Linked DNA regions of Drosophila melanogaster. The protein of the gene in region 2 interacts with the protein of the main gene of each other region in a pairwise test. Each region holds a gene or a part of one and is shown on either strand. Other genes may lie near its edges.

Region 1 (10,207 bases), on a different chromosome or scaffold from region 2:
TAATACAATAATAACATTAAAGTTCTCGGGCGAATCGGTTTGATGCAATATTTTTGGGGCGGCTCTTCTGTTCTGTGGCGACATCGCTGTGGCATGCGGCATTACCCATGCGCCCCACTACCCAACATCAATTGGAGTTCTACGAGTGGATCATTCGATCAATTAGCCGCGGATCAATACTCGGATGCAGTGCGTGGGTTCCAATTAATTCCCTCACTCCTCGAAATGACCAAACTCCATCATGGCCACTACATCCCCATTTCCATGTCCGCTGGCTTTTATGCCCTTTGTGCACGGAATAGAAATGGGATTATTAATACGCAACATGTGCGACTAATAGATACACTACGCAATCATTTGAAAATGCTTTAAATCGGAAACAAGCAAACAGTCGGGCTAACTTCTAATATATTTTCTTAAAATCTATATTAATAAATATGCCTATATCATTACTAATCTAATAACGTGATTTGCTTACTCTTTTAATTACATGTATATACTATTCTTACTAATCAGATTAAATGAACGTGTCTAAGAACAATAATAACCCTTTGCAGGCTGCACAATAATTTCCTGGCCATATATATAGTTTGGAAAATCGTATGAAAGCAATTACAGAATGCGTCCTATAGACGATTTCCATTAATTCTTAAGCAAAAACCCTTAAGATACGTGCTAGAAGTGCATTCGTTAATAAGTTCACTCGAACACGCGAGAAAAGAAAAGTCGGCTTCCCTTTGCTAACACAATACACAAGGCAATATTCTGGGAATTAGCGTGGCAAAGTTCAGAGCACCACCCTCTTCAAAACACAAGAAAAAAAAAAAACCGTGGTGGTTGGTGGGTTTGGGTGGATTTGGTGGTGCTCCATAAATTAGAGCAACTTGGCAATATGACCAGCCAGTCGGACAGTTTTATGGCCACGGAACATAGAACGCACATCGAAAATGCAGTTTACAAATGCTGAAAGACCCCCGCTTTTCCACACACACACAACCCCCATCCCCCACCCCCCTCCCCACCATCGATTTCAAAGAAAACCCCTTTTCCTTTTTGAGGGCAAAGTTCTTTAATGTGCCAGTGGGCGGTTTTCGCTTTTGTTTGCTGCTTTTCTTTTTAAAGGAGCGTCGATTAGAGGCTAATTAAGGCGTCATTAAGTGGCCTAGATAGCGATTAATAAATGAAATCGATTAATAAATTAAAAATAATGCCAATTTGGACTAAATTGCCATGTTTAAAACGCGATTTTCGACGTAAATTAATCAAAAGTGGTCACAGAACTTAAGGAAGTACCGTTTTTTAATCCTTATTACCAATACTAACCATTCGTATCATTTTTTGTAAAATAAAAATTTGACCAAATTTTTGCATTTTCTGTAAGGGGTAACATCATCAAAATTTGCAAAAAATTGAAAAATCTTAGAATTCCCAAACTTGAATGCAACGAGGTATGACATTCCGTATTTGGGTAATTATTTCCAATGTTATGATCAAAATACCGAATATTTTTATCACCAAAAATCTGGAAATTATTCTTGGCAAAAAACTCAATTTTCAAGTTGGCTTTTTTGGCTATAACTCGACTAAAAATGGTCACAGAGCAAAAAGAAGTACCATTTTATACTACTTACAACCAATACTAACTACCCCTTTCACTTTTGAACTGATTTTGTAAAATTAATTTTTGGCCAAATTTTCGCATTTTTGTAAGGGGTAACCATCATCAAAATTTGCAACAAATTGAAAAATCTTAGAATTCCCAAACTTGAATGCAAATCGATTGGAATTTAAAAAACAAACTCAATGAGGTATGACATTCCATATTTGGGTAATTATTTCCAATGTTATGATCAAAAAACCAAATATTTTTTTCACAAAAAATCTGGAAACTATTCTTGGCAAAAAACTGAGTTTTCAAGTTCGCTTTTTTGGCTATAACTTGACTAAAAATGGTCACAGAGCAAAAAGAAGTACCATTTTATACTCCTTACAACCAATACTAACAACCCCTTTCACTTTTAAACTGATTATGAAAAATTAATTTTTAGCCAAATTTTCGCATTTTTTGTAAGGGGTAACATCATCAAAATTTGCAAAAAATTGAAAAATCCTAGAATTCCCAAACTTGAATCCAAATCGATTGGAATTTAAAAAACAAACTCAACGAGGTATGACATTCCATATTTCGACCATTATTTTCAAAGTTTTGCACAAAAAACAGATTTTTTCGAATCAAAATTTGCCAATTAAATGCCAAAATCTAAAGTCTAAAATTTGATTGGCGATCGTTTGAAAATCGAATTAGAAAGACCACCAAGGTACGACACTCCATTGTTGGTGCATTCTTATGATAAGGATATTGTTACGAATTTGCTTTGAAGGAATACAATAATGGGCATACAAAGTTGCAGCAAGGCCCTTCAGATTCAGGTCACATCCACTCGCATTTCCATGTGCACAAATATGAGCATATTTCCCCCAGCTCTAATATTACAAAACAACTTTCAAATGGGCCGCCAAACGCACAGAAATGCGGGTGAAATTCGCAGCTCATCTCGAATTGCATTTGTTTATCGACAAGCGACAATGAGGTTGAATTCCCCATCGTCCCGCTGACAAAGCATCCACATATCATTTGACACCAGTTGCAGTTGCAGCAACGGGCAGCCGCACGCCTCATTTCATCCATGTAAAAGTGGCAACGCGATCGGGCCACAAATGGCAGAGGAACTCAAGTCAGGAGAAGATTGAGTGGAGATTATTTTTAAATGCCGAGCCGGACGATTGACCGAAAGACCGGGCAACCGGGCAGCCGGGAATCCGGCGGAGTGGCAGTGGTTGGGACTCCCAGTTGAATGACCCACACACCGGCGCCGAATATATATATGTACATATACATATATATATGTATATATCGAACAGATAATTATAATGAGAGCAGATGGTCTCGTCTCTTCGGGCTGAATTCTACATAGTAAGTGTATATGTACATATGTATGTATCTGAATTGGTAAACTCATCAAATATATATCAAAGTTCTAAGTGAAGAAATAGCATAGAATAGTTATTAGAATATTATTCAAGAAGTTATTTGAGCGATTATCTAGTTTTTTCATGATTCATAGCTGTCGAAAATTCTAGACAATGAGTGAAAATAGATGTGGCATCTAAGATTGCCTAGTTCTCCTGAATCTTTTAGAATGTGCAACAAAATTGCCTGGGCACAAAAACTGGAAAAAAAAGCCAAAAAAAAAAAAAAAAAAAAAAAACTGTGCCAAGTAAGCAACAATAAATATGAGAATGAGATCATTTTTGGACTTCTCTCACGAATCTTTTTCTTTTTCAGTTTCTTCTCGCTCTGCTCGCCGTTGTATACATTTTGTTAACCAAATGTTTTTAGCATCGTAGAAATTGTTCGAATTTCCACCGACTGGAAGAGCGGAAATATACACAAAAAAAAAAAATAAAGTGCGGATAACGTAGAGGGGGGTAAATGCAGGTCAGACGAATGAATTAGAAACAAAGCAATGGCAAATAAACTGCGACAACGAAGCGGAAATGGATTTAGATAAAACCAGTGTAAACAACAAAGAGGGCAAATAATGTTATCAAAGCAGCAAGTGCAAAATGTACCAAATACAAAATACGAATTATATTCAAATAACAACGAATACCCAGACTCATAAACGGCAATCATTCCGGTTAGTTTAGTGGGGGTCAGTATCGTTATACTCACTTGGCCTTGCTGCTCAAATTGCTTGAATTTGATGAATTGAAATTAGAAAATTCAAATGCAGCACGACAGCCAATTGTTTGTTTATGATACCCTCGCACTGCAAATTGTAATATGATTGTCACGTTCTTGGGCATAGTTCATTTTTTTACGGCACATCAATTTTTGGGAAGCTAGGAGATACATTTATTTGCAATAGAAAAATATATATATAATATATAATATATGTACATATTCCTCCTATCTGCTCTTAAGTAAAACGAAGTTACTAGATTCATTTATGGCTCATTAAGCTGGTAGACATTATCTAATCGGGCGATGAAACCAACCAGTCAAATTGTTCAAAAACTGACCAAAAGTGGCAAAGGAAACTAGTCTTTTTGTACTCGTAAATAGCCGTCATTATGGCCACCAAAAAATTTTGGTGAAAGTGCCACAAAACAATACAATTACCACCCGCATTTTGCCCGCTTTTTAGACTCACCTGTTGCTGGATCAAACAAACGAACAAATGACGTGTTTTATTTGCCACTTGATTTGCAACCGGTTCTCCCTTTTCGGTCACTATTATTTGCTTAATTTGTTTTATGTTTTCCTTGCTGGTTTGCTTCGTTTATTCCACTACTTCTAAAAAACAAAAAAAAAACAACAAAAAAACGCCAACGAACGTGTGTGTTAACAACTTTTCACAGAATTCTGATTGATGCACAGCGCATGTGGAAAAAAAAAGAATGCGAAACACGCGAAGCGAAGAATGTTTATATCTTATCTTATCAGTGATTGGATGGCAAAGGGGGTGTTGGGCAATTTTTCATTATCAACTGATGATGATAGTGCCGTACACATCGATATTTGCTCTGTTTGCTGTTTGCCCTTTTGCTTGTTGTTTTCTCGCAAGTAATAGTCACCAATTGCTTAGCATTTCTAAATGTATCCAGCTGACGTCAGAGCGTCAAAAGTTGTGCGATCTTCTGAATGCACCGCAAAAAACTAGTGGATCGATTCCGAGGCACATACTTTACATTTTCAATGACATTATTACTCATCAATTGTTGGTTTGGCTTTTTAAATACTTAGCATTCATTAAGTGATCTCTTTTTGTTCAGTGCACCTTAGTCATCTGATCTGTAAAACGGTTTTTAGTGACGTCATGAATGACAATAGCAGAAAGAGATGGCAATAAAAGGGTTGCACTTGAAATGAGCCAAACAATAACAACAACAGCACACTGGTTCACCTTCAGCTGATCAGCGGGTACTGCCATCTCCCTCCCACACACCCCATTCAAACTTCAAACAATTACAATTCTCATTCTGTTCATATTGTTCTACACTTGCAAAAACCAACAGGCAAACAAGAAGCACTGGCAAGACAAAAAAAGAAAAACCATTAATGCGAAGAGTAGAGAAGCTCACGTTCGCAAAACAAAGTGTGTATTGAATTACGCGCTATTTATATTAATTAATGGCACACTGTTCGCATTTTCACCGTTAGTGCGCGCGGCGCATACGACGGACGGTGGATGGGAAAGGGAAAGGTCGCGGCAAAGGAGCGCGCGTACACTTACGCCAAAATGCCGGCAAAAACAAAATGAAAACACGGGGATAGATGTTGATGGATGGAAACCCTTTTCAAAGTCCGTTTTGTTCAAAGTTCGCTTTTCAACTGACCAGATTCGGCTTTCGGTTGCGCGGCCAAAAATGCCAAATGCCGCGCATAGTGTGACCATCCGTCAGTGCAGCGTGAATACCGAAAAGCTCACGCGCTGATGCTCCGGTTACACTACAACAAAAGCTTTTGGTACAAATCGAAGCTTACAACAGCTTTTTAAAACGCAATGAACAAAATATTTACAGAGTATTTACACGACGAGCTTTTTTTTTCAATTGTCAACTAATTGAAAAAAAGCTCGTTGTGTAAATATTTTTGACAACCTCTGTGTATATATACATATGTACATATTTAATATGTTACACATTTTTTGAAAAATAAATAATTGGCGCAATACAGGGCCACTTTGGTTTACATAGCACAGGCAAAACATGTTGCTTCGGAGATTCTAATACACGATATAAACGTATGAAAACAAGCATGAACGAATATAAAGTCCCTTCGGCTTTCCAAGCCTGCTGGATTTATCTTCATCGGAGGTTTCATCTGAGGTGATATGGACGAAGATGGAATGACGAGGCATTTTTTTCCGATTTACACGCAGAAGCAGCACGAGCGTCCTTTTTATAGCATTTTAATATGATTGTACACAGTTCGATCGTCACTATGCGATTGTTTAATCATTATTTAAGCTTTTCAAGACATGTGACCAGATTTTAGTCGCCTTTCAAGCTGAGATTCCGAAAATCAGATACTTTATACTATGGCGCCATTCGCGCAGCCTCACACTGATTGAAAACAAGTAAGCTGATAGCTGGATACGCTGCAAGGCAAAGTATAAAAAACATAAAGTAAACAAATGTAAACAATTCATATAAGCCAAGTTCAATGAGCCAAATCCAAGTAAACAAATGAATTTAGCGGCAGAACCGGTTGTTCTTGCTTATATAATACAATATATTGCTTTCGTTTCGATTCTGGCTGCTATCAAAAAAGCCCAAAACTCGTGTCACAAAAGTCAAGAAGCGACCGAGCAGATAATACAGCTCGGGAATTAAACAAATGCGTATTTTTTTTGTTTGAAATCAATAAATCCAAGTTGGCACGACAATAATCAAAATGTATAATGAACGCGAATAACCTTTATTGTATTTCAAACAGAAAGTACAAATTTATTTTAATGCTTTTAGGAATCTATATGTGCAAAAAAAAAATGCACTATGTTTGCTCTACACTTTCAAGTTTATAGAATTCAAAAAATAAATGCACTTTTGTACTCCCCATCTATATTGTATGTATATTGTGTCGCTTTTCTCACTGTGTGTCCGTTGGCTTTCGGTTAATTGGCACTTGGATGTTGGAAGTTGCCCGGCTGGTTTCTGCTTTCCGATCTGGGATCGCCACTTGTCGAGCTGACCCCACTGCAGTCCGCCGCTGGCGCTGATCAAGAACGGAGGATGAGCATTCGGTCTACCCATTGCATACCCACTCGTGTGTATCTGCACCTTCTGCTGGTGTCGCTACCACTTTTGGCAGGTGAGTACAGGAATATCTGATCGATCAAGGGGTTTTCCCAGCTCAGTCGCGTCGAGTGACTGGCTGACTCACATGTATTTCACATCCATTCAAATGGTACTTTTTTCGTCGAAGTTCACGCCACGCCCGCCATAAGTCCGCAATCGTTGCGCGGCATCATCTTCCCCGTCGAAACCTTCGATGAGTGCCAACTGGAGGACGTGGCGCGGACGAAGGGCACCTGCCGGCGCATGGAGGACTGTCCCAGTGCCCTGAACGGCTGGCTAGAGCGGCGCGAATCGCCCAAGACCTGCTACTTTGTGAGGTTCGACCACTATGTGTGCTGCGCCCCAGCTGTAGCTCCAATTGTCACCCGATCCAGCCAGCAGGGTAAGCTGACCCACCTCAACATATCCATAAATAACAGACATATTGTATTATTGCAAGTATATGTATCATTTGGCCCTAGTTTCGAGCCTTATAATGTGTTGTCATCCATGACTAACCACAGGGTATCCCCTGACGTTTCCATTTCCCCCAGCCTGCAATGAACTGAACAAGGTGTCAAAGGTCAAAGAGATCGACGAGTTCTTCGTGTCGGTGGTGGGCGGCATGCCCACCCGTCCGCGGGAGTTCCCCTTCATGGCCGCATTGGGCTGGCGTTCGAACTTCGATCAGAGGATATACTATCGATGCGGCGGCGCCCTTATCGCCAACAACTTTGTCCTGACCGCAGCCCACTGTGCCGATTTGGGCGGGTAAGTTGGAACGCTAATCTGCATGATTGGCGGTTTTTCCCTGGCAATGGAAATATCCCCTGATATTCGTATGTACATAGATTGTTGAGCTCTCAATCCTAATGTCGCTTCTTCTCTTCCAGTGAGCCACCCAGTCAGGTGCGCCTCGGTGGCGACAATCTAACCCTGACCGAGGGCGAGGATATAAGCATTCGGCGCGTGATCATCCATCCGGATTACAGTGCCAGCACGGCATACAACGATATTGCGCTGCTTGAGCTGGAGACGGCGGCCAAGCCGGAACTGAAGCCCACTTGCATTTGGACGCAGAAGGAGGTGACCAACACGCTGGTCACGGCCATTGGTTATGGGCAGACCAGCTTCGCCGGTCTATCCTCCGCTCAGCTGCTAAAGGTGCCGCTGAAAAGCGTGAGCAACGAGGAGTGCCAGCACCACTACCAAAAGGATCAGCTGGCTCAGGGCGTGCTGGGCACGCAGATGTGCGCCGGCGATATAACCGGCGAGCGGGACACCTGCCAGGGCGATTCCGGCGGACCGCTGCTCATGCAGGACGGCCTGCTTGGCTATGTGGTGGGCATCACATCGCTGGGACAGGGATGCGCCAGTGGACCGCCATCGGTGTACACCAGGGTGTCCAGCTTCGTCGACTGGATCGAGGGCATTGTGTGGCCGGCGCAGCAGGTGACGAACGCACCGCAACCCAACCAGATGACCAGTTTCAGTCCCGAATTCGATCTGCGGGCGACGATCTGAGTTTTGCTTTCGAAAGCTCCATATATATACAGGAATAGATTTACAAAATGATCCAGCAAGAAATTATTTGAATATTTACATACACTATTAGGTAAATCAACAAATTTCAAGAAATATTTATTTTTGAGCTCGTTTAGTGTTTAAAACTTTATTTAAACTTAACCGTAAGCAAAAGCCAACTGCATAATAGCGCATATCGAATAAACTTGCTAACAAAATCAACAATTGAGATTTTAAATAAACAAAACCATATTTATAACTTTTCACTCATGTCCGTTTGTTGGATTGAGTTTCTTGTTTGGAATCATGTTGCTATTTCAGCCGATACCCATTGGATAAACAGCTGCGCAGCATGGATATATAAGTGGCCAGAACCGCAGGAGACGGATACTTGAGCACGAACCGCTGACCACTGATGTACCGCACCGAGACTCTGCTGCTAATCCTGACGAGCGTCGGGATACCGTCACTGGCCTATCTGCCCGATGTGAACATATTCACCAACTACCGCACCGAGGTCTATAATGGTATGTATAATAGGAATTGTTTGTAAAGTGTGGCGGACTAATAAAGAAATCCCACAATATCGCTAGGCATTCCATCGGAGATTGATACCACACCGTTCGTGCGGATCGGGGACAACTATTACTACATCGAGCCCATGAATAAGGTGAATTGGTTTCAGGCGGCCGGCGCCTGTCGCATGATGAACGCCCACTTGGCCTCCATCGAGGATAAGCCGGAAATGGAGGCGCTGATCAAATACATGAAGGCCAAGGGGTTCAAGAACAATGATTACTTTTGGATATCGGGCAATGACCTGGGCACCGAGGGCGCCTTCTATTGGATGTCCAACGGCCGCCCGATGACCTACGCCCCTTGGAACGGGCCCAAGCAAATGCCGGATAACTACGGCGGCAACGAGAACTGCGTCCACATGTTCGCCACCCGGGAGATGATCAACGATGCCAACTGCAAGATCCAGATGCTGTACGTCTGCGAGGCGACGGAACCGAAAACCTTCAAGTTCACCTACATTAAGTGGTAGTTTTCGATTGGTTCTAAAATAAAACCAGCATTACATACATATATTAAAATAAGTTCAATTGAAGTTGGGGCAAAACCGAGTTGTTTTACGAATATTACGAATATTGGTACATATTAAAAACAAAAGTTGTAGTTTTTGCCGGCTTTTATTTGTCGCATCGTTTTGCTTATCGCATCCGTTATTCTCTTTTCGCTAATTATACAATCAGTTAGATTTACGATTTTTGCATACTAAATTGTTACGATTCCGATTCTTACACAGCTATTGAACTCTATCATATACATACATGTATTATCGATCGATTCATTTGATTCACTTGAATTGAATTTAGTTGCGTTAAATGTAGTTAATTAAATTTAATTTAATTTATTAATACCCACTAATATCGCGACGACAAAAAACTGTGTATGTTTCGAGTATATGCATGTGTGTTATATAACAATAACGGCACACGTAATATGAAAGTTGGGAACTGCGAACGGAGCGCAAACTGAAACGAAAACGAAGGACTGAATGGGCAATGATGGACGAAGGATGAAACGATTTCGAATGCATGGAATCCAGTGGGGAAATGGGTTAGTTTTACAGTTAGATCTGCGGCTTACTTGCTAGGCTAGGCGAAAACGTGATCGATATTGAAAAAATCTACGACATAATCTCAACATTCATAGCGAGTATGCATGTAGTGGTGTATTCGTGTGTGTGTGTGTGGGAGTGCTTATGTGCTTACATATGCTCTGGTACACAGTTATGTAGTCTAAGTAGTTGTCGATTTACGATTTACCATTT
Region 2 (9,829 bases):
GAATTTGACAAAAGCGGTGTAACCATTTCGAAAAATGGGTTAATGGTTGTCAAAAATTCAGGTATGTTAAACAATGTACCTGTGATCAATTTTCAAGCATATTCTATAAATGCTAAGCATAAAAATAATTTTCGTTTATGGCATGAGAGGTTTGGCCATATAAGCGATGGCAAATTATTAGAAATAAAACGAAAGAATATGTTTAGTGATCAAAGTCTTCTAAACAACTTAGAGTTATCATGTGAAATTTGTGAACCCTGTTTAAATGGTAAACAGGCAAGACTTCCTTTTAAACAATTGAAAGATAAGACCCATATTAAAAGACCACTTTTTGTAGTACACTCAGATGTCTGTGGGCCTATTACTCCAGTTACTTTAGATGATAAAAATTATTTTGTGATCTTTGTTGATCAGTTTACACATTATTGTGTAACTTATTTAATTAAATATAAATCTGATGTGTTTAGCATGTTTCAAGATTTTGTAGCCAAGAGTGAAGCTCATTTTAATTTAAAGGTTGTGTACTTATACATTGACAATGGTAGAGAATACTTGTCAAATGAGATGAGACAATTTTGTGTTAAGAAAGGAATTTCTTATCACTTAACAGTGCCACATACACCTCAGTTAAATGGTGTTTCTGAGAGAATGATAAGAACCATTACGGAAAAAGCTCGAACCATGGTTAGTGGTGCAAAGCTAGATAAAAGCTTTTGGGGCGAAGCAGTATTAACTGCTACTTATTTAATCAACAGAATTCCTAGTAGAGCACTTGTTGATAGTTCAAAGACCCCATATGAGATGTGGCACAATAAGAAGCCATACTTAAAACATTTGAGAGTGTTTGGTGCAACTGTTTATGTGCATATTAAAAACAAACAAGGAAAGTTTGATGATAAATCATTTAAAAGTATTTTTGTGGGCTATGAACCCAATGGTTTTAAGTTGTGGGATGCTGTAAATGAAAAATTTATTGTCGCAAGAGATGTTGTTGTCGATGAAACCAATATGGTTAATTCTAGAGCTGTTAAATTTGAAACAGTGTTCCTGAAAGATAGTAAGGAAAGTGAAAATAAAAATTTTCCGAATGACAGTAGGAAAATAATACAAACAGAGTTCCCGAATGAGAGTAAGGAATGCGACAACATACAATTCCTGAAAGATAGTAAGGAAAGTGAAAATAAAAATTTTCCGAATGACAGTAGGAAAATAATACAAACAGAATTCCCGAATGAGAGTAAGGAATGCGACAACATACAATTCCTGAAAGATAGTAAGGAAAGTAATAAATATTTTCTGAATGAGAGTAAGAAAAGAAAGCGAGATGATCACCTGAATGAAAGTAAGGGATCAGGCAACCCGAATGAGAGTAGGGAAAGTGAAACAGCAGAGCACTTAAAAGAAATTGGAATTGATAATCCAACTAAAAATGATGGCATAGAAATTATTAATAGAAGAAGTGAGAGATTAAAGACTAAGCCTCAGATATCCTATAATGAAGAGGATAATAGTCTAAATAAAGTTGTTCTAAATGCTCACACTATATTTAACGATGTCCCAAATTCATTTGATGAAATTCAATATAGGGATGATAAATCTTCTTGGGAAGAAGCCATCAATACAGAGTTAAATGCTCATAAAATTAATAATACTTGGACAATTACAAAAAGGCCTGAAAACAAAAATATTGTAGATAGCAGATGGGTATTTTCTGTTAAATATAATGAACTTGGAAATCCAATTAGATACAAAGCTAGATTGGTTGCACGAGGATTCACTCAAAAATACCAAATAGACTATGAAGAGACATTTGCTCCTGTAGCTAGAATTTCAAGTTTCCGATTTATATTGTCATTAGTAATACAGTATAACTTGAAAGTCCATCAAATGGATGTAAAAACAGCTTTCTTAAATGGCACGTTAAAAGAGGAAATTTATATGAGACTTCCTCAAGGTATATCGTGTAATAGTGACAATGTGTGTAAATTGAATAAGGCAATTTACGGACTCAAGCAAGCGGCTAGATGCTGGTTTGAAGTATTTGAGCAAGCATTGAAAGAGTGTGAGTTTGTAAACTCTTCAGTTGATCGCTGTATATATATTTTAGACAAAGGTAACATCAATGAAAACATATATGTATTATTATATGTAGATGATGTGGTTATAGCTACAGGAGATATGACAAGAATGAATAACTTCAAAAGGTATTTAATGGAAAAGTTTAGGATGACTGACCTAAATGAAATAAAACATTTTATTGGAATTAGGATAGAGATGCAGGAAGATAAAATCTATTTAAGCCAATCTGCATATGTTAAAAAAATTTTAAGTAAATTTAACATGGAAAATTGTAATGCAGTTAGTACTCCTTTACCTAGTAAAATAAATTATGAATTACTTAATTCAGATGAAGACTGCAATACCCCATGCCGTAGCCTCATAGGATGTTTAATGTACATAATGCTTTGTACACGCCCAGATTTAACTACTGCAGTAAATATCTTGAGCAGATATAGTAGCAAAAATAACTCCGAATTATGGCAGAACTTAAAAAGAGTTCTTAGATATTTGAAGGGCACTATCGATATGAAATTGATTTTTAAAAAGAACTTGGCATTTGAAAATAAAATTATTGGTTATGTGGATTCTGATTGGGCTGGTAGTGAAATTGATAGAAAAAGTACAACAGGGTATTTATTCAAAATGTTTGATTTTAATCTCATTTGTTGGAATACAAAGAGACAGAACTCAGTAGCAGCCTCATCAACTGAAGCTGAGTATATGGCCCTATTTGAAGCCGTGAGAGAAGCTCTATGGCTTAAATTTTTATTAACTAGTATTAACATTAAACTAGAAAACCCCATTAAAATTTACGAAGACAATCAAGGCTGTATTAGCATAGCAAACAATCCCTCATGTCATAAACGAGCTAAACATATTGATATTAAATATCATTTTGCCAGAGAGCAAGTTCAGAATAATGTGATTTGTCTTGAGTATATTCCTACAGAGAATCAACTGGCTGACATATTTACAAAACCGTTGCCTGCTGCGAGATTTGTGGAGTTACGAGACAAATTGGGTTTGCTGCAAGACGACCAATCGAATGCTGAATGAAATTTTTATATATATTTTTCAAATTTAAATTCCTGTAAACATATTTTGTTACAATGATCTGATCGGGTTTTTCTGGGTTTTCCCCGTATCCTCGCAGCAAATGCTGGATCAGTTAACACTTCCCAGAATGCACACCACCCACATTTGATAGTTACTAATGAATATTATTGTTATGTTTTTAATTATAGACGTTATTTTTGAGGGGGCGTGTTGGAATATACTATTCAACCTACAAAAATAACGTTAAACAACACTACTTTATATTTGATATGAATGGCCACACCTTTTATGCCATAAAACATATTGTAAGAGAATACCACTCTTTTTATTCCTTCTTTCCTTCTTGTACGTTTTTTGCTGTGAGTAGGTCGTGGTGCTGGTGTTGCAGTTGAAATAACTTAAAATATAAATCATAAAACTCAAACATAAACTTGACTATTTATTTATTTATTAAGAAAGGAAATATAAATTATAAATTACAACAATCACTTTCGGCTCTAAGGCGGAGAAAAGGGCTTAAAGACCCTGAGCCTTAATTGTTTATTCAAAGCACGGACCAGAAAAAGACAGCACTGGAGCAGTCGAAAGAGATGGGTATATAGACAAAAGGGCGCCTTGGCGAAAAAAAAAATTATTCAAAGGCCGAACGATTGTGCAATCACAAAGTTCGTAGGCGGCATAAATCCATAAATAAACAATAAGTATGAATAAATAAGTTGCTGTTCGACAACAGCGAACAGTAATTGCATATTAAAATGGAGCTTACATGTTGGACGAAAAGTGAAGAAATTCCAGGGTCGATGTAAATGTTATGGTTCCAGTCGCAGAGAATCGCTCTCTTTTCTTCTTGTTGTTGCGATCAGCCGGCTTTTGCGAAGAAAGTTTCTTCGTTTCCACTTGTTGATTTGTGATCGGCTGTCTCGCTCGCGCACTCTTCAGTTTCCTCGTTAATTCACAGGAAGCACAGAATTAAGGCCGAAAATATATTTATAAATGAAATGCAGGCGGCACACGAAACTTCGCCATCAATTTAGACGGCCTGCACTTTTGTTTTCTCGAGTCTTTCCACTTGCGTTGCGTTTCTATGAAATTGGGCATTAAAATTTAAATGCTATTAGCCACAGAACACGAACACGAAAGATTGGGAAATGAAATGAAGGAGAGAGAGTGAGAGAGAGTTCTCTCACTCGTCGCTGTTATTGTTATCACCTGAGTCGAATACAGTGGGACCCCCACTTGAAGATGCAAACAAGACTGAGCTTTTACCAATAGTATTCAATAGTTCACTGATATCGATTAAATAATTTTAAAACTTTTGATCAACATTGCTGATTAACGCTTATTGGATTTAAGAACATTCGATTTGTTAATACTTGTGATCTGGCTTAATATGATAATTTAAGTCGAGCCCCACTGTACTCTTTCTCGCGGATTTTATCGCTCACTCTTTTTGTTTTCAGTTCACTCTCTCTCGCTCCGCATAGTTTGACTTGTTGTTGTTTCTGCCAGCGTAGCGTAGTTAACTTGAGCGGCAGCAACAACAACATCAGCCATACTTGTTGCTAAAAATAGTAGCGGCGGCGAGACAGAAACAGAAAACAGAAAAACAGCGCGGCAGAATAAAATATGAAAAGGCGCACAAATTGGAAAAAATTGTACATGACGAGCAACAAAAACAAGCAGCAAGTAACAAAAAGGAGGAGGAGTAGTTACAACAACAACTGAGCTTCTGTTGAAATATATCAGAGAAAAGAAAGGCAAAGAGGCAGATCGGCGTAGAAAGGAAATGCGACGCAAAACTGCAGTCAAAGAATTAGTTGGAATGATGGACTGAAAAGTGTCAAGTTTAGCACGGAAAATTCGTCAGCTGAAGTGCGAAAGAGACAGAGCGAACGAGCAGCTAACAAGTGATTTTCCATGAAATTAATTGCAGACTGCATTTGAATTAATAATTTTCCACTTTGAAATCACAAACTAAAAGAGAGCCGCTCTCTCTTCCACTCTCTTCGCTTAATGCACCAAAACTGCATTCACAATTCACGTTTTACTAATATTTAGTCAACTTTAACCACTGCCTTTGCTTTAATTGCTTTTTAAGGCAAATAGTTGCACATATGGAAAACGCTAGTTGTTGTTTTATTTTAGAATTCAGAATTGAGCACAAATGCTAGATCGTACGACTAGCGAAAGCAGCAACAACTAACCAAGTGGCACGCACACACAAGCACAAGTCGATGAAAAACCACCGAACTAAATGGCGATGTGGATTATTCTGATAAACGCCAATGCCATATATATATATATTTTTTTTCTTTTATTAAGAACTTGTGCCAAAATTTGCAGGAAAACCACGCGTTGCATTGATTCTTATAAAAATGCCGCTAAAGTCAATTCCAAGCACGATCGCGACAAATGACAACCGCACAGCACGAGAAATTCCAACAGACTGAAAATGAAACAAACAACTTACTCGCTACCACTACTCGAATATTATGAAATAAAGAGCACATTAGCATTTTTTCTCTTAATTTTTAAAAAATTATTTTCTCTTCTGATGCAATGTTATGAATTAGCGTTGAGATAGAAAAAAAAAATTTAAAACAATATTATGCTCAATCCTTTCTACAAATTAATTACTTTAATCAAATAACAAAATATTCATATTAATAAAAGTGTACTTTGTTTGTTAACGTAAATATACTATGTGAAAGGAGTAGATTTAGTAGAGTAGTAGAATTTATAATATTTTCCCTGCTAGTTCTCTCAGAGATGATGTATCAGTTTGATTTTAATAATCATTCCGAATGAAATCATCATTGAAGTTGGTCAAGATCGGTCTTAAATTAATCTAGTATTATAAATTGCCAATGCAGGATTAACTCTGCGCCATGATTTATTCAACTTTTCTCGTATACTTTTGGAACTAACAGCACACAACGCCTATCCGTTTACGACAAATGGTGTTTGTTTTTGGAACTAATACAGCGCCATTTTTCATTTTAGTGATTTCTAACTTACGTTGTACGTTACATTTCAGATTTATTATGCATGTAAGATGTAGAATGTCATAGCAACTGGCCGTCATGTATGTAAATATGTGTATGTATAGGCATTTCAGAGCCATTTTCTGCTCATATGTAGGGGTGGAGCCTGAGAAGAGAGAAAATCCCAAAAGGGGAATAAGAAACTGGGAAATTTTACTATTTAACTCGTTTCGTAAGAGGGTATACTAGATTTGTTAAGAAGTATATAACAGGTAGAATGAATTTTCCGATCTTTTATGGTACATAAAAAGACATTTTTTGAAACATGTTGAAAATTCAAAATTTTTTAATTAAACATAAATGTTTAAGTGGAATAAGTAACATATTGTAAAAATTATTTATTAATTTTAACCGTTATTTATGTACAATTTCGTAAGGTTAGAAAAATCCAAGGATCTTTGGTCGGGAATTTCCCTCAAGAAGGCGTTGCAAACTTAAGACCACCCACCCCCAGTATTGTGCCACCCCTCCCCAACTTCGCAACCCTCTTTTCACCCCTCTGCCGCTCTCGCAGTCGACGTCGCCGGGAAGGAAGGAAAGAGATAGCAGCTGGGAGAAAGGACAAAAGGAGAAACGGGTCGGTGGAAAAGGAGGAGGAGAAAGTAGAGGAAAAGTGAGGCGGCAGCAAAAGTTGATTAGATGGATTTCGTTTGGTTTTTGTGTTTTTAATCACACACCAATTTCATTTATTAAATCTTCGCATCAGCATTTCATTTCTCGCATTCCCTATCTTTCTCTTTCCCTCCTTCTGTCTCTTTCGCTTGTGCAGTGCCTTTTTTGTTTGGCTTTGCGACGGCATTTTTGTATTTTCTGTACCGTAGTGTTTGCTCGTTTGGCCTTCTCTTTTCTCTCGCACTCCTGTTTGTTTGTTTGTTGTTTTCCCGTTCACTCATTGTCACGAGCAATTTCACTCTCTCTCCACACCCCACCACCCCCGTCTCTGCCCATCTTTTGGCCCAGGCAAAACTTTTTGCAAAATGAAATTGTTTTCGTATTAACAATTTCATTAAAATTAAATTACTTTTATTATTCCGACAGAATCAGACAAACGAAAGGAGAAAAAAGCCAGCCTCCCCTGCCGCCCCCTCACCCCTTTCAGCCATTTTGGCCCCCCATTCTACCCCCTTATTGTAAATAAGCCAAAAGCTTGGCGTCTGTTTTCTTCAGCTGTCAAACAAATTAATTGCGCTTTTAATTAATTTCGTTGGCTTTTAGAGTGGAAAGATGTGATCTTATAATATATAATATACTAAAAGCTAAATTGTTTAACAAAATTGTTACCCTTTCTTCGAAAAAACACTTATTTCTTGCAATAAAAAAAGAGCCAAATAATGTTCGTCGTAAATAAGAAATTCACCACTTATGTACAGCCGTATGATAAATAAAATATCCTAAATGCGATACCGCATTTCCCAATAAATAACATTGAATAAACGCCATTCCGCATACTTTTGGGCCGCAGCTCCTTTCACTCTAATTCTGTTTAGCCATTTATTTTATTTAGGCATTTCATAGAACGATTACCATGCCACTCCGCCTTTTCTTCCAAATTGTTGTATTCCCAAATTGTAGTCGAAGACATGCCTCCAAATGGATTCCGTGGAAGCCGTTTTGCCTCTTTTAGCCAAATGATGCGTAGGCCATAAAACCGAAAGGCCAACGATGGAGTCTTGGCCATTTGCTTAGGCGCTGGGCGTGGCTCCAGCCCCATACTCACCCAATAATAAATATACACTGACAGATTTGTGTTTAATACTTAAGCGAATTTATAATTTAATATTTACCTTTAAACTTAACATGCAAGTTATTTTAAAGCTCGAAAACATTTTAATATTTTTGGAGTTGTTTTAAATATTTTTAATATTATATAACTTGAAGTGCACTATTTTCCTTTGTGCCTGAAACAATTTTTGATGGCGCCCATAAATTTTCGAGGCTCTTTTCAAGCCTACGAATGCGAGTTGAAATGTCGCATCATAAATAAACGGGCATCGTTTTCAGGAGTCAGGTGATGAAGGCATCGGAATGCCGATAAAAAAGTGGTAAGGGTTGGTTTTTGCCAATGGGAAGTGGCCTCCAAATAAACCGCAATGCAATTTGGTCCAAAAGAAGTTAATAAAATTTCGACAAGCGGAAAGGGGACTTCCGTTGATATTTCATGAGTTTCCTGGGTAGACTGATGCTTATGAGATCAATGGCGTAGGCAATATTAAAAAGGGGTTTTAATAAGATCTTTTCTCAACTTTAAGTTACCTTTCATATTTCTGGTTCATATGCTTCAGCATCTCGATGAGGTCTGAAATGGTTATTAATTGCCCCAAAACCTTTGCCACCTGCCGTCTCGCTTCCCCATTTCGCGCTGTCCCTTTCGGGCGGCTATTCATTTTCGGAGGCTGCGCCATTTTGGCTTGGAAAATTTATAAACGTAATTGAGATGCCTTCGCCGCAGCGCATTTTCCCCACCCAGCACTTCCCAACACCCCCCTTATTTCTCGCCACCCAACTGGCCGCACGTAAAATGCATTAACTGCTGCTTCTGGCCTCGTCCTGGTCCCGGATCAGGATCCGTATCCGGATCCGGTTACAGTTACGGGTTTTCACTCCTGGCAAAAGTCCGAGGCACTCGCAATTTGGTTTTCGGAAAATAAGCAATTTGTAAATTGAAAACGGTCGTTTCAGGGGCCAGCGAGGGGGTTTTTTTGGGGGGGGGGCGAAACTGCAGTTACATGCGGCCATTTACTACGTGGGCGTTGGCCAGGGGGCGTGGCAGGCTAGAACTGGCTTCGCGGAAGCTGGAAATTAATTATTTGCCATTAGGGCTAAGTAGATGATATAAAAAGTGGCAGCAAAGCGTGCTCCAAAAGGGGCAGTGGGTGTGGAAGGCGGAGGGCTGGAAAAAACGTGAAGTGGGGTTGGGGGGGGGTAAATGGATGGCAGACTGGAGATTGTCCTGCTATTGAGGCGGTTTTCTGCCGGGTGGGGCTCAGCTCTGCAGGCAATTTAGACAGTCAAGTGCCCATATAAATTACATAAATTTCACCCAGGAACTGCCGGGCACCGAGAAAATGGTGGAAAAGGGATAATAAATAAGTACTTTAGTTCAAATTGTAGAAAGATATTAGAAGATTAAGAAAGCCAAGGCGTGCTATTTGCTTAAGTTATTAATAAGCGCATCTCTAAGTAATTTTTGTAAAATTATAACAAATAGCTCATAACAACAAAGCTTATCACATAACTGATAACTTCGCCAATATTGACAATTTTATGACAAGCAAACTGTTATAAAATCATCCACCCAAAGTGGAAAATGCAACACGAGTAGTTTCCGTGGATGGAAAAATCTTTTTTCCTCCTCCGAATCGCTGGAAACTCACCTGCCAAAGGAAGAGGCGTTAGAAGCCGAGTGCCACGCCTTCTCTCTGGCGTCCAAAACGAATCCCAGACTCATCTATTATGAAGTAGGTAATTCCACTAAAACGAACCAACCAAGAAAAGCGCCGAAAATGTAGAGGGAGTGGAAAATAAACACAATCAAAGAGGACAAAACAAAATTTAAGCGCAAAATGAAATGAAATTCGGATTGGAAATGAAACTAAAATACAAACTAATGATGGAGGAACGTAGTGGGGCCGCAATCCAGGAGCCTGTGGGTGGCAAAGGAAGTAAGC

Evidence for each region.
Region 1: the proteins of for (region 2) and CG12065 interact in a two-hybrid assay, tested with the Drosophila melanogaster proteins (one large-scale study listed by BioGRID).

The regions. Positions count from the first base shown.
Region 1 is NC_004354.4:8,569,501-8,579,707, reverse strand, and holds the start of CG12065 (uncharacterized protein), read right to left. Parts: upstream 5,403-10,207; 5' UTR 5,301-5,402; intron 4,361-5,300; exon of another isoform or gene 4,358-4,360; 5' UTR 4,218-4,357; intron 1-4,217. Other genes in the region: spirit (serine protease immune response integrator), read left to right, coding at 6,802-6,880, 6,995-7,249, 7,401-7,617, 7,740-8,370; CG12111 (uncharacterized protein), read left to right, coding at 8,786-8,897, 8,964-9,418.
Region 2 is NT_033779.5:3,651,387-3,661,215, forward strand, and holds the start of for (foraging), read right to left. Parts: upstream 5,568-9,829; 5' UTR 5,336-5,567; exon of another isoform or gene 5,322-5,335; intron 4,200-5,321; 5' UTR 3,884-4,199; intron 1-3,883.